Rattus norvegicus: one gene and its partner. The protein of the gene in region 1 interacts with the protein of each later gene in a pairwise test. Links are inferred from orthologs where the notes say so. Each region holds a gene or a part of one and is shown on either strand. Other genes may lie near its edges.

Evidence for each region.
Region 2: the proteins of Nudt18 (region 1) and Nadk interact in a two-hybrid assay, tested with the Homo sapiens proteins (2 studies listed by BioGRID and IntAct). The two-hybrid records come from large-scale screens. The link is inferred for Rattus norvegicus from reciprocal best matches to the Homo sapiens genes NUDT18 and NADK.

Annotation. Positions count from the first base shown.
Region 1 is NC_086033.1:52,057,130-52,064,467, forward strand, and holds Nudt18 (8-oxo-dGDP phosphatase NUDT18), read left to right. Parts: upstream 1-3,167; 5' UTR 3,168-3,244; coding exon 3,245-3,406; intron 3,407-3,450; exon of another isoform or gene 3,451-3,728; intron 3,729-3,883; exon of another isoform or gene 3,884-4,227; coding exon of another isoform or gene 4,228-4,269; intron 4,270-4,336; coding exon 4,337-4,550; intron 4,551-4,758; coding exon 4,759-5,354; 3' UTR 5,355-5,693; downstream 5,694-7,338. UniProt on the Homo sapiens protein: Mediates the hydrolysis of oxidized nucleoside diphosphate derivatives. Hydrolyzes 8-oxo-7,8-dihydroguanine (8-oxo-Gua)-containing deoxyribo- and ribonucleoside diphosphates to the monophosphates. Hydrolyzes 8-oxo-dGDP and 8-oxo-GDP with the same efficiencies.
Region 2 is NC_086023.1:171,426,504-171,433,841, reverse strand, and holds the start of Nadk (NAD kinase), read right to left. Parts: upstream 4,466-7,338; 5' UTR 4,179-4,465; intron 1-4,178.

The sequences.
Region 1 (7,338 bases):
GAGCCAGCCCAGGCAGTGTCTGACCCTGAGATGAGGGCAGGGCCCTTGTTGGCACTTTTCCCTGCAGAGGCCCTGGAAAGTCTGTGGCTCCTTGTCTTCTCTCTGACTTACCATGACACCCGCTAAAGAGCTGGAAGTGAGCTCTGGGTCGTATCTCTATGCATTGGCTGCTTTTCTCTTTTCCTTACAAAACTCTCCTACATTTTGTCTTAAAGTAATTGTAGACTTACATTCAAGTTACAACTATAGCATGGATCCGGGTGTGGTAGCACATACCTTTAATCTCAGCCTCAGAGGTAGAGGCAGGTCAATCTCTGTGAGTTCAAGGCCAGACAGGGTTACATTATGAGACCCTGTCTCTAAAAAAACAAACAAAACAAAACAAAACAAATATAACACATAAAGCTTTCAGTCATCTTGACCTAGTGCTCCCCAGTGGGAATATCCTATACATAGTCCCTTTACCACTGCCAGGACCTTAACAGCACATCCAAGACCTAATAATCCCATTCAGGAAGCCACAGCCTTACTGGAATCTCACCAGTGTTCCCATTTTTGTCCCCTTTTGTGTCCCAGGGTCTAGAAATGCCTGTGTCTGATCTACATGGTGACTGTGACTCCTCCAGAGTCATTTAAGGAACTACTAATACAGCCCAAGTCCCCTCCACCACTGCCCTTTCACCTGCCTCTTTGTCAGGAGACAGGATTTTCTACATTCCCAGCCCTGTCCCCGTGTCCCTGACTCTGCCTACCTCATATCTCCCAGCTCACAGGCCACATACATGTGTGCATGAATGCACCCTAAGATGGCCTTCTCCCATAGGTGCTGGGAGAGCTGCACTAGTTGGGCTATGTTAGTCTGAGGCTACCCACTCCATGGGTGTTCTCCACCTCAGAGGAGAGAAGACATACTTAGAGGGGGACTATCTCAGCTTCCTTCCCTGTCTCATGATCCCCTTTCTGTCCATGACTCACTCACCTGTCTCTGACCACTGCTCTTTATCCCAAGGCCTTTTTGGTTACTTCCCCAAGCACTCTGGGAAGGACTGTACCCCCTTCAAATGCCTTCTGTGTGTCCCATTCACCATTTACAAAGGGCTTTTGGTGTCTGTTGCTTCAGTGTGGCTTATGACAAGGCAATTAGGTGCTCCGCAGCAGACGAGTGTTTTCCCCGTCCCCCATGATAATGGGGAATGGAACTGCGGTTGTGGCAGTCTTTGCTCTTCCAGGCAGTTGGGCCGGCTGCTGTTTATCTTAGGATGCTCTCCCAGCCTGCCCAGACATGACCTCACCCTCTCCCAAATCATCCCTGGGAGGCAGAATGGAGTCTCTGACCAGTGCTGCCTCCATTTCACAGATGGGAAAACTAAGGCAGGGGGGTGTCATGGATAATAGAGAAAAGGGAAGGAAAAGAGTGGAAAAAAGAAAAGAGGAGGGGAAGAGAGTAGAGGTGGGAGAGGAGGGTAGGAGAAGAGAGGTGGAGAGGCGAGGAAAGGAGGGGAGGGGAGCAAAGAGCTTTAACAAGTGGATCTGCACCCTGGGGCCTGATCTTGCCCCTCTGCCATTGACTAGGAGGTCTTTAATGGTCTTGAGTGCCATTAAATACTGCGGGCCACTAACTGTGTCCAATCTCACACAGATTTCCTGTCCAGGGAGTTTGCAGTTGGCATCAGCGTCAGGGAGAAAGGCTGAGACCAGTCCTGTAGGGCCAAGATTGCCTGCCAGTCAAGTCTACAGAGCACAGAAGTGTTTTTGTTTTTTGTGGTGCTGGGAATTGAACCCAGGATCTTGTGTATGCTAGGCAAATACTCTACCACTGAGCTACACTCCCCAGTTTCCTCTGTGTGTGTGTGTGTGTGTGTGTGTGTGTGTGTGTGTGTGTGTGTGTGTGTGTTCTCGCGTGCTGGTGTGTTCTATGGGCTATGGCTTTGATATCCTACCTAGAGAATAGGTGGGCTGTCTGGTTCAAATAGTCAGTCCACAGCTTCTCCCAGGCTGCTATCTTGGCTTCTCAACAAGCATGGAAAAGGAGGGCTGTTACAGACCTACTGTACAGATGAGGACATTGAGGCCACCCAGGACACAGAGCAAGTCAGCCAGGAGTGGCTGGATGTCTGGTTTAAACTCCAGAGCTGTGTCAGCACCACCAAGCCACTGTCCCCCAAAGGAGGTACACAGAGCCAGCAGAAGGCTGGGAGGAGGGAAGGGAAGGCAGGGATGGAGTGAGGAGCCCAGACTTGGCCTGCTCTGTGGATTCCTCCCAGCTGGCCCTGCCTTCCTGTCCTGAGTGGAGGTTAAAGAAGCTCAGAGGAGGAAAGGTCAGGCTGGGAGAGAAGCAGGAGCTAGCCAAAACAATCCACACCCTGTTCCCCATGGCCAGGACCTGAACGCTGGGTAGGAGGGCACCACCCCTGCCCTCTAAAGATGTAGTCTGCTTCAGAAGCCTTGAAACTACAAGGGAAATGCATTGAGCATAGGAATCGGATACAGGCTACAGTGCTGACTTAAAGCTCCTTTTCATCCCCCAATAGCTTCTTCTCATTCCAGCCCTGTCCCACCTTGACCACCTGTCCTACCCCTCCTCTAAGGCCTGTCAATCATGTTTTGTTTTGTTTTATCCCCCAAACCAACCCTTTAGCCTAGGACTTTTAAAATGGCTTGTGTCCGTCGACCTAGACAGAGCAGAATTCCTAACGCAACGTTATGTGTCTCAGAACATTTTAACGAAGTCAGAAAGTTATTTGGGGCCAATCTGTCCTGAGCACTTCTCTAGTTTGTTTATGGTAAAAGCTGGACCGGTGGGAGCAAACGGCGGAGCCTCGGCTTCCGTAATGTCATCGGACAAGTGACGCCATCGACCCTGGTCACGGTGGTGTTCATCACCCTACAGGCAGGATGACATCACCGTCGGAACCCGCACGGACAAGTGCGTGCTGGGTGAATTAGCTAATTGCTGGGGAGAGTGTGGAGTGAGCGACCAGCGGCTAAACCCCGGGAGAGGAGGGGGCAGAGGGAGGATCCCGGAGCCCCGCCCCCTCGGTAACCGCTGCGAGATGGCCAATCCGGGCAGGCCGCAGTGATGCGCAGCCTATCAGAGACCAGATGTCTCCCGGAGGTTCCGCGTTAGACTTGGCCCTCAAGGCAGGGGGGGGGGGGGGGGGGAGCGGCCCACCGCAGCTCAAGTCCCTGCTGCCTGCCTCCGGGGGTCTGGCAGGTCCCGGCCTGCCACCTCCCCGGAGACTTGATGGCCACGGAGGGCCTGGCAGGGGCGCTGGCCACCGTGCTGGGGGGGAAGGGGTTGCTGGTGCAGAGCTGTGACTCGGAGCCGGCTGGCAAGCCGCTGTTGCCCGTGCGACTGCGGAAGAATGTCTGCTACGTGGTGCTGGCCGTGTTCCTCAACGAGCAGGTGAGCGTCCGACGACTAGCCAGCCTTCGGCTGGTCTCGGGAGCGTGCCGCCTGCCCTGATCGAAACAGGCGAGCCAACGGCCGCTGCCTGTGCGTGGCGATCCCAATGTTGCAAAGCACTCTCACACTAGCAACTGAGCAGAGATTGTCCTTATATAGACTCTATAATATAGAAGAAGAAGCTGAGGTCCCGGAGCAGTTATCTCATTCACTAGACCTCGTCCCACACCAGGAGAGGCCTGTAGTATTCCTCCTTCCTTTCCAGGAGTCTAGCAGTGCCTGACATGCAACGGGGATTTCCTGGACTCTCCCGGCCCCAAGGGTAGAAATGGGAAGCTTACATGCAGGCCTCCGACCCTCAGAGTTCTTTTTAGTGATTACCTCTGTATAAGTCAGCGTTATAAAATCCTGGCCAGGGGTTGGGGATTTGGCTCAGTGGTAGAGCGCTTGCCTAGCAACCGCAAGGCCCTGGGTTCGGTCCCCAGCTCCGGGGGGGGGGGGGGGGGGCGCGGGTATCCTGGTCAAGTAGGGGTAGGCTGGTATGGAGGTGGAGCTGAGTTTCAAAGCCTCAGATCTTAGATTGAGGATCTGACACAAGCGGTTTGTAAGTCACATGGAAACAAGAGCAAGACAGTGGCATAAATGAGTCAGTATAGGAGTGGTGGCAGCCTTCAGGATGAGGCCTCCTTAGAGCAACGCCCAAGGACCTCAGACCCTTTCTACAACAGAAATTCCTCCGGGTCCAAAGTTGAGTTACAACAAAAAGGAGGCAGCCACAGCTCTCAGCCTCACCAGGGCCTGGCTCCTGGGGATCCAGCATCATGAAGGTGTCTCTACTAAAGGAGCTTTGGACCACCATCCAGGTAGGAGCTGCTCTTTTGAAGCTCCCAGATTAGCTGGAAAGTGAAGATTGTCTTGCTTCCCTCTCAGGATGAGGTGTTGATGATCCAGGAGGCCAAGAGAGAATGCCGGGGAACATGGTACCTCCCGGCAGGAAGAATGGAACCAGGGGAGACCATCGTGGAGGCCATGCAGCGGGAGGTGAAGGAGGAGGCTGGGCTGCTCTGTGAGCCAGTGACACTGCTGTCTGTGGAGGAGAGGGGTGCCTCTTGGATCCGTTTTGTATTCCTTGCTCGACCAACAGGTACAACACAGCTGGTAGCATTCAAGCACCTTTCTTATTGTTTCTTCTTCTTAGCCAGCCATACTGTGGGCTTCTGCACATTGCCCAGGCTAAGAGGCTACAAGCTAAGAGTTTTGGGGTCTCCTGGGGGTGTTTGGGGGGCCATTTACTCTCTCAGGCTCTACACTTCTCATATTGGCCCTCTCCCCATCCTCCAAATCTCTCCTAGGTGGAGTTCTCAAGACTTCCAAGAATGCTGATTCTGAGTCCCTACAGGCTGGCTGGTACCCACGGGTCTCCCTGCCCACACCGCTTAGAGCTCATGATGTTGTGCACCTGGTAGAGCTAGGTGCCAAATTCTGCCAACAAGCCACACACCCTCTCATTCTGCCTCAAGAGCTTCCCTGCAATATGGTCTGCCAGCGGCTGGTGGCCACCTTTACAACAGTTCAGTCAGTGTGGGTGTTGGTGGGTACAGTGGGGACACCTCACTTGCCCATCACTGCCTGTGGCTTTACCCCTATGGAACAAAGAGGTGGCATCAAGGTGGCCATCTTGAGGCTACTACAAGAGTGTCTGACTCTGCACAGTTTGGCAGTGGAGACCAAGGGGTTGCTTGGGCTGCAACATCTCGGCAGAGACCACGTGGATGGTATCTGCCTGAATGTGCTGGTGACAGTGGCTTTTCGGAACCCAGGAATCCAAGATGAGCCCCCAAAGATTCGGGGGGAAAACTACTTTTGGTGGAAGGTACTGGAGGAAGACTTACAAAAACAGCTTCTACACAGACTCCAGGAATCTTCTGTTGTCCCCCTGACCAGATAGATACCAGCAGTGACCAAAAGCTGAGCAGCCACCCTCCCTCTGAGGCAGTGAAGAGACTGGCAGTCAGGGGTCTCATTGCACATTACTCAGGTACAGGAACTACACATTGAGCCCAAAGGGAGGGTGCCATGAATCCAGTCATTCTGAGGGCACACGATGCTTCTCTTTAAGTTTGAAAGGAGCTTTTCGAACCGTAAATGGCACCATCTTCTCTGTCCACTTTGGAAAAGGCCGCATGTCAATCCTTCCAACCCCACAGCAATGTAGAGGGGGATGGGACAAGGGGGATGCATCCCTCAGGGCAGAGTCCTCATTGCTGAGTAAAAAGGTGTTGCTTAACTTGCCTACTTGCCTAAATGTCTGTGTGGGGAGGATATGGGGCATTGTCCCACCCATAGCCACCCAGGTCTTTCCTTACTGATTCTATGCAGGGGTGTAGGGCTCCTGGAGTAGACATTGCTCCTCACTGAAGCCTCGACCCACCCAGGCTCTCTTTAGTGTTTCTGTCCTGTTGGGGCAGGCGTGGGACTTTGAAGTGACCACACCCCTAATAAAAACAGAGCTCAGACCTGTCCAGGTGGTGAATGGTTTGGTCTGGTGAAACTGCCTATGGAACAAGAGCTGAGGACGACACCTTGGCCTCTGCCTGCCTTTTTCTCTTTGTGCTTCCTGGGCCCTGACCTGTTGTTCCATGTGCTTTCTGGTCCTGGGTTTTTGGTTCATGCCCTATCCTCAGTTCATGTGCCCCAGGCTGACTGTGAACTCTTATAATGTAGCTGATGATGACCTTGAATATCTGATCATCCAGCTTCTGTAAAACTCAAGCACTTTTATCAACCGTTAACACTCCCAGGCCATCACAGGATTCTGTTTTCTTGAGATAGACTCTGCCCACATAGACCAGGCTGACCTCAATCAAGTTTGTTGTGATCTTCTGCCTCCGATTCTTGAGTCCTGGGAATACAGATGTGCTCCAGAGGCCAACGCCAAGCTGCTTATCATCATCATTATTATTATCTGATGAAAACCTTGAGGCTGGAGAGGTGGCCCAGCTCAGCATTTAAGAGCATGTGCAGCTCTTTCACAACCACCTCCAGTTCCAGGCTTCCTAGCACCATCTCTGGCCTCTGTGGGCTCTCCACTCAATGTGCACATCTCCAATGCAGACATACATAATTAAAAATAAAAATTTAAATAAAAGCCAAAAGTAGTGGGGCAAAGGAAATGTATCACGTGTTGCTAATCATCGCATCTAGGGGAAAGATTTCCAACTCAGAGGAGCAGGGAAACACGCTTCCTAGCATTCCTTTTTCACAGAGGACAGGATTTAGCTTGAGGAGCCAGAAAACTCGCTGATCCTTTGCCTCGTGCCCCGGGCCTCCTTTGGTAACCATCTTGTCTGGTTTCCAGAGAGGAATCTTTAGAATCTCTGAAGACATTTTTCAAATGCTAAAGCAACGCGAAGTGTGGTGGCATATGTTTTTTTTTTTTTTTTTTTCTTTTTTTCGGAGCTGGGGACTGAACCCAGGGCCTTGCGCTTGCTAGGCAAGCGCTCTACCACCGAGCTAAATCCCCAACCCGGCATATGTCTTTTACCCCGACATCTGGGAGGCAGAGGCAGAAGGATCTCCAGGAGTCTATAGAGCAAGTCCCAGGACAACTAGTACTACAGAGAGGCCCTGTTTCAAAAGGAAAAGGAACAAAATAAATGGAAGTCTTTCCTATCTTTTTTACTTTTGGAGTGCTGTGGGTTGAGCCCAGGGCCTCACACATTCTGGGTAAGCAGGCTACCTAATGATCCCAGTGAAAAACAAAACCTTTTATTCAGGTCAGGACTCCTTCAGTTCCTCCACACACAGAGAAGGGCAATGACATCCACTCCCACTATTTAGCCTCATAGGTTTGTTTTTTTTTTTTTTTTTAAGATTATGTGAGTACACTGTTACTCTCTTCAGACACACCAGAAAGGGCATCAGATCTCACT
Region 2 (7,338 bases), on another chromosome or scaffold:
TTTGAGGCCAACCTGGATTACTTACAGCCAGGGTCACACTAAAAAACCCTATTTCAGAACAGAAATAACAACACAGAAAAACCCTGCCTCAAAATAAAAACAAAGAAACAATAACAAAAACAAAAGAATAAATGAATAAAAAAAGAAGCCAGGCCTAGTGTGCACAGTGAGCTCCGGGACAGCCAGAGCTACACAGAGATACTGTGTCTCAAAAAAAAAAAAAAAAAAAAGAAAGAAAAGAAAAATAAACCAGGAAATCATGGTGCAAGCCTTTAATCCCAGTACTTGGGAAAGCAGAAGCAGGTGGCTCTCTAAACTGAGGTCAGCCTGAACTACAAATTGAGTTCTAGGACAGGCAGGAAAACACAGAGAGACCCTGATTTGAAACACACACCATCCCTGCCCCCCAAAAAAATAAATTTAGGGAGGAAAAAAATAAGTAAATAAACAGACACATTTACTTATGGGTTTGTGCACACATACTCGATTGCACCCCTTAATCTCCATGTGGCAGTCAGAGGATAGCTCTTAAATCCTTTCCCTCCTTTACCCTGAGGCTCCCTGGGATTGAATTCGAGTTATTGGAACTAACAATCATTCCTCTTTTTTTTTTTTTTTAAATTCTGTAGCCTTTTGTCCCCAACCTTTCTCTAGGTCATTCTTGCAAACAAGGTCTAGAAAGGGATATGGAGGGGCTGGAGGGATGGCTCACAATCATCTGTAATGGGATGGGATGCTCTCTTCTGGTGTATCTGAAGAGTGCAACAGTGTCCTTACATACATAAAATAAGTCTCTAAAAGAAGCGAAGTGGAAACTATGGCTAGACAAGGTTATATATGCTGAGGCAGCAGGTGGGGGTGGGTGCACTTAGCTAAACCTGGTGCAATTTGTTGTTGTTGAGTAGCCCTGGCTGGCCTGGAAAAGCATTATGGAGTATGCATCAAGAACTTATAAATGTAGCCAGAAAGACATCAATATTGAAATAGGTCAATAAACTCATGTACAACAGGAACCAAAAACAGGCAGGGACACACACACAGAGCCCCACAAGAGACTTAATACAAACAAGTTCAACTTCACGTGAGCTTCGCAGGAGAATCATAAATGAGAAGTAAAGCCAGGCAGGCGCGTTGGTACGCACCTGTGACCCAAGGACTCAGCATGCAGAGGTAGGACTGCAATCTGTGCTACTAAAGTCTGAGTCTTTAAAAATAGAAGGAATGAAGGAAGAAATGGGCAGGAGAGAAAAAAAAAGAAAGAAAAAGAAGGAAAATTAGTGAGAGTAACAGGGAAATGGTTAACTTCATTAGTTAATACCAAGTTGGAAAAGTTTCAAGTTCTTGTTTTATGAGACAGTGTTGCTATATCGACCCTACTGGTACCACAGTGAGCCACAATGGCCTGGTTTAGTGATTACCTAATACCTACTTCATTTCTACAAATAAATGATATCCAAGCTAGCAGACAGGTGGGGGGGGGGGAGTGTGCTGTTTCTGGAAAGTTCTAAGGAATGGGATTGCAGAACCCATCTATCTGGTAGTGGAAGTGCTTCACGGACCTGAAGGAGCCATTCTGGTCTAGGAGGCTAAGTGGTCGGGTGTTGCCACATTTTCTACTGCACCATGGAGGGCAGCCTCCATGGATCAGAATATAGGACAGTGATAAGGTAAGCAACAATCACAAGAATAAGAATGGCTTCTTGGGGTTGAAAGTGACACTCCTTCAGGAGGGTCAGAGTCCTATGGTAACTGTAAGCAGATCTCATAAGTCCTAGAAAGTGGAGCCTGAGATCACAGCCCGAGGTCCACCCTCTTGTCCTCCCAAGGCACCTCCTCACAGTGTTGAGCATTTTGAACAACTCTCTGGCTCTCTTGCTGCTACACCAGAAAGCAGACAGGGGTGGAGAGATGGCTCAATGGTTAAGAGCACTGGCTGCTCTTCCAGAGGTCCTGAGTTTAATTCCCAGTAACCATATGGTGGCTCGCAACCATCTGTAATGGGATCTGATGCCCTCTTCTGGTGTGTCTGAAGACAGCTACAGTGTACTCACATACATAAAATAAATAAAAGTCTTTAAAAAAAAGAAAGAAAGAAAATGGAGGTGAATCCATTTCTACCACCTAAGGGACTGGAGAGAAGCCTCGACAGTTAAGAGGCTTTTGTTGCTCCCAGAGAACTTGAGTTTCCTTCCTAGGACCCAGGGATCTGACACCCTCTTCCTGCTTCCAAGGCACCCATACTCTGTGCAATAATAACCACACACACAGACACACATGCGTACACATAAACTCAAAATAAAATAAATCTTTAAAAGAGTGGTGGTGTAAGTCTTTAATCCCAGCACTCAGGAGGCAGAGGCAAGGGATCCCTGAGTTCAAGGGCAGCCTAGTCTACAGAGTGAGTTTTGGGCCAGAGAAACCCTGACTGGAACTCCATCCTCCAACCCGCAAAAAAAAAAAAAAAAAAGGCTCAGAAGAAGTCACAGTGCTTACATAGACAAAGCCTTGGGCTTCATCCCAACACCACATTAAAACAAGAAAAAGCTCAACTGGATATGGTTGGTTCATGCCTGTAAATCCCAACATGCAGAGATACACACAGGACAAGAAGTTCAGAGTCGCCCTTGGCTACACAGGGAATTAGAAATCAGCTTGGCATACATGAGGTTATGTCTAAAAACAAATGACCAGAGAGATGGCTCAGCAGGTAAAGGCACTTACTGCCAAGCCTAATGTCTTGACTTTAATCCAGGGAACACACGGTAGAAGGAGAAAACCAACTCTTGGAAGTTCTTCGACACATGAGCAGTAGTGAGTGTGTATCCATTCCCATTTAAAAAAAAAAAAAAAAAAAAAAGGAAAAGAAAAGCCACTGGCTTCTCTCCATTCTCCAAGTGAAGCCTAGAGAACTAATGTTCATTTAAGTACTGCTGTTTTATCTGTTATCCATGTCTACCCAAAGGGAGAGGTGTGAGATGGGTTGCGGCTAAGTGGGACACGATCTGGGCTGGATCTGTAACACTTCAAACAAGATGAAAAGGGAAAAAGGAAGAAAACAGCAGTCCCAGTGATTGTTTTTAATAAATAAATCTACAAAGGAGAAAAAGCAGAAGCATCCCGAGATGCCACCTCCAAAATGAAGCTACTTGGTCAGACTGTATATTGGCACCTGTCGCTGCCCAGAGTCCAAGATGGGTTGTGTAAGTCACAGTGAAGTGTCTGCTGAGGACAAATATACTAAACTCCAAAGGACGGGCCACTAAAGGCTCAGAAGAGCTATGTTGAGAGGGAAGGTCAGATGTTTTTAATTAACTAAGGCAAGGATGCCAGCGTCGGGCCCGTGGAAACCGACAGTGATACATAAAATAAATGAGTATAAGTTTGAAAAACATTCTTCTCAAGAGCCAAGCCAAACGAATAAGTTTTGAACTGAAACAGAGCGTGTTCCCAAACAAAAAAGGAAAAAACAATTTGCTATTCAGAATCACAGCCAAGAGAAAGCCTATTGCTTGGGAGAGCTAGGAAGAGACGCCTGATCTTTGCCAAGGAAAGACGGGCCCTGGAACTGAGCTGGGCGCGCCCTATTCGCACAACTAAGAAACCTGCCAGAGGCCAAGACAAGCGGCCTGTGAGTGTGACTTCATGAGAGGCAGCTGCCTCTAGGAACATCTCCATGGACTCTTCAGGACTTTGGAAGTTTCTGGCAAGTACTGGATACTAAGTTTACGATGGGATCTTGGAGAATTTCACACCCCGACTGCTTTACACAACGCTTGGTTCACTACTTTGCACTAGCTTTGGCTTCTGAAGTTTCACATGCCAAGGCCTCTCCTGCTTGCTAAGGCCCCATTGGAAGACCAATGAAGCTGAGTCGGCTGCGGTGCTGCACGCTGAACTGGCCAGGAACAGATCGGCGGCCTACCTGGCTTCTCCCAGGACCCGAACCTCTGACTCGTCCCCAGACCCATTCCCGGACCTGAACCTCAGACCTGTCCCCTGGGCTCGTTCCCGAGACCACACGTCATCCTGGCCACAACCCACATTCGGACGCAGGGAGGCGCGTCAGTGCCACCAGCACCCGGCCTCGGGCAGGTGGGCAGGGCCGGCGCGGTGACCCGGTCTCCACGGGTCCCGGCAAGTGACGCCCGGCAGAGGGCGACCCCAGGCCCCGCACTCACCGTCGGCTGCCGCGCGCCCGCGTGGACGTCTACATGCTGGGCCGAGCCAGCGGTCCCTGCTGCCCTACTGCTACCTGGCTCTCAGCGACCCAGCCGCCCGCCACCCCATGGCCGCTCGGTCCAGAGGCCGGCACCACCAAGCAGAGCTGCGCCGCGGATGTCAGTGCGCAAGCGCAGCCCGCACGCATGCGCAGTAGAGCACGTGGGGGGGGGTAGCGCGGCGCACCGCACCTACACAAGACAGGCACTCAAACTTTGGATTTCGCCAAACCCTTTGTAGGCCAAGGATCAGAGGCTGTGAGAGAGAGAGAGAGACGTAACGAGGGAGGGGCGAGGCAAGGAAAGGAGGCGGGGCAGAGAGGAAGTGGGCGGGACAGGGGGAGGAGGAGGGGCAAAGGCAGAGCAGAAGGGTCGCAGCAAAGGAGCTGAAACAGGACGTAGCAGAATAGGATGGGAACAAGGGGGCGGAAGACAGCACAGGAGGGATGGGGCCAAGGTTGGTAGAAAGGGACAGGGCAGACAGTGGGGGAGGGACAGGTTGCAAAAGGGCGGAGCCCAGGGCTGGAGGGACGGAACTAAGGAGACTAAGCGGGAGGGGAGGAGGGGACAAAGGGTGGGGTTGTCCGGGAGGAAGTGGGAGGCGGGGCAGAGGAGGCAGAGGGGGTAGAGGGTGAGGGAGCAAAAAAATAAAAAAAGGAAAAAAGGAAGCCTAGCCTAGCCGAGGAGGGGCAAAAGGCTCTGGCCCAGTTCCTATGACTGTCTCGGCTACAGCAGAGAAAAACACCACCAGATTCTTTCCCTCTTCTTGCCTCCTTGCCTCGCTGTTCGATCTTTATTCCTGTCCTACATCACGCTGTTTGCTTTTTGCTGGCGAGGTCTCCAGGACCATGTAGTCAACGCGGGCCAGCTTGGTGGGAAGGTGGGCCTCGCGACAGATTCCTGTTCCCACCTTGTTCTAAATGGCCAGCGCATGGACCTGGTAGCCTTCAGAAGCAGAACTCAGGTGCCAGCCATGCCTGGAGCATCTGCACTCATTTGGGTCTCAGGCCCACCAGCAGTAACTTGACACCCTTTGGAACTGGCAAAGCCTCTAGGACTTAGGCCTGAAAGTAACAAACCTGACAACTGGCTGATACATTGGTTCGCTACTTTAATCCCAGCACTGAGAGCCCAGGATTTCTAGGAATTCGAGGTCAGCAGGGGGTACGGTAGTGAGAGACTCTGTCTCTAAAAGAAAAAAAAATTCTGATAATTGAGAAGTGACTGTAAACAGCGTGCCTCACCCCCACAGCTTTAAGAGCAGGAAGGAGGGAGGCCATTAACTCACTTTGTAACTGATCCAGGAGTATGCTGAACTGGTGGACACCCAGTTTATGCATCAGACCTTAGACATCCAGCAGTGTGCATACATAGTGCACCTGTAGGTGTTTTGCAGTCTCCTGGCTCCCGGCTCCGTAGTTTTCAGATGGTCACACAATGCTACATTTGTCAAGACTTGGCACCCTGCCATTGCCCTTCCTGTAAAGCCCAATTTCCAGGCACACAGCCTCCATACCTGCTGCAGTCAGGATGTTCTCTGGTGGGAACTCCTGAGACCTGTGTGCTGTCCTTCCAAAAAGAACACATCGATGCAGTGGGGACGAAAAATTGTGGGTAGGGAGGATGGTGGGAAACTGTGGGGATTTCTTAAATTTTGTAACTTCCTCATGAGTTTTGTAAACCTAACTTCTTCCCCAGAGTGAACCCCAGTCACACCCACCAAAGGCTGAAACTGTGCTTTTGTCTATCATATAATAATAATTTTGATTGATACCTAGTGGTAAATGGCAGGCATATGGCCAGGGACGGAGAGATATCCAGAGTGGGAGTAGTCATATCCTTCTGCAAAGGCACCCAGTCTATGGTCTGCAGTCCAAGGTCACACACCAAGTAACCTGTCTAGTCTTAAACTAAAATAGCGGATGTCCAGTAGTTGCTGGGGAAACCCTTTTTCTGTAATGGGGTCAAGGCCTGGACTGTGCAGGTGGCTTCTCCATTTCAGAGGAAGCTGACATTGTGCAATGTCTTGCTGGGAACCACCAGACTCTGAAGACTCAGGAACCAAGTGCTCACTCCCCCAAGTCAAAGGCTTGGAATGGCAAGAGAGTAAGTACTTAGACTCCTAGAGTGTTTAATCAGGGCTGGCTTTAAAGGGCAGCAGATCAAATGTCACATGGGGGTGAGGCACCAGGAAGAGATCAAGGCAATTATACATATTATTGCTTTGGGCCTCCAATACCTGGACTTCCTCCTCCTCAAAGGCTAAATGATAAGGGAAAGGAAGAATGAGATGAGAAGTAGAGGGATCGGCCTCTGCCTAAAGTCAATTTTGGGTGGGGAGTTGGGGGGATGTCAGTCAGGTAAGCTCTCAGGCACAGATATGGGGGGGGGGGGGGACTATGTACCTCTTTGGGTCCTGCCTTAGTACTGAGTGGGAAGTTGGTTTCATGTGACCAGGGTGGGGCAAACAGCTGAGTAAAGGCTGTCCAGTACTAAATAAGGCTGACAGTTAACCAGAAGAGTGTATTACAGAGCAGAGTTGATTGCCATGGGATACTATGAAGTCATCTTGTCCATCCTCCAACAGTGTACTTGGCATAGGCAAAGATCAATACTGATGGCATCATCAGGAGCTAGAGTCTCCTTATTGGGGTAGGTGAGGGGCAATGTTATTATCCCTTCTTCAGCCAAATCAGTGGGACAGCTGCCAGGTATTCAACTTTTTGGGTGCAGCAGGGAGAGTAGGACCCAGCCTTGCCTAGGGTACTTAGGAACAGATGTCAGGCAAGGGAACAGTGGTTTCAGGAGCCTGGGTTACATAGTCACCAGCTGTAATCTTACACTAGGAACTTTTTTCTCACAGAATCCCTGCTGACTATTTACTAGTTCCCACATGGGGAACCCGAGGGCAAATACCTTGTCCAAGATCACCCTGTGTAAAGAGGCAGAGGCGAAAGGCTGCTGGTTGCTCTTGGACCTTGAGGGGTTGGAGGGGTCTAACAGAATGCTGGTGCTGCCAGGTTGAACTGAGAATCAAGGGGCACAATGACGGCAGGATGAGAGTAAGACCCAAAGGAAACAGTAGAGGAAACAAGCTGGACTCAGGCCAGCTTCTGGCCTT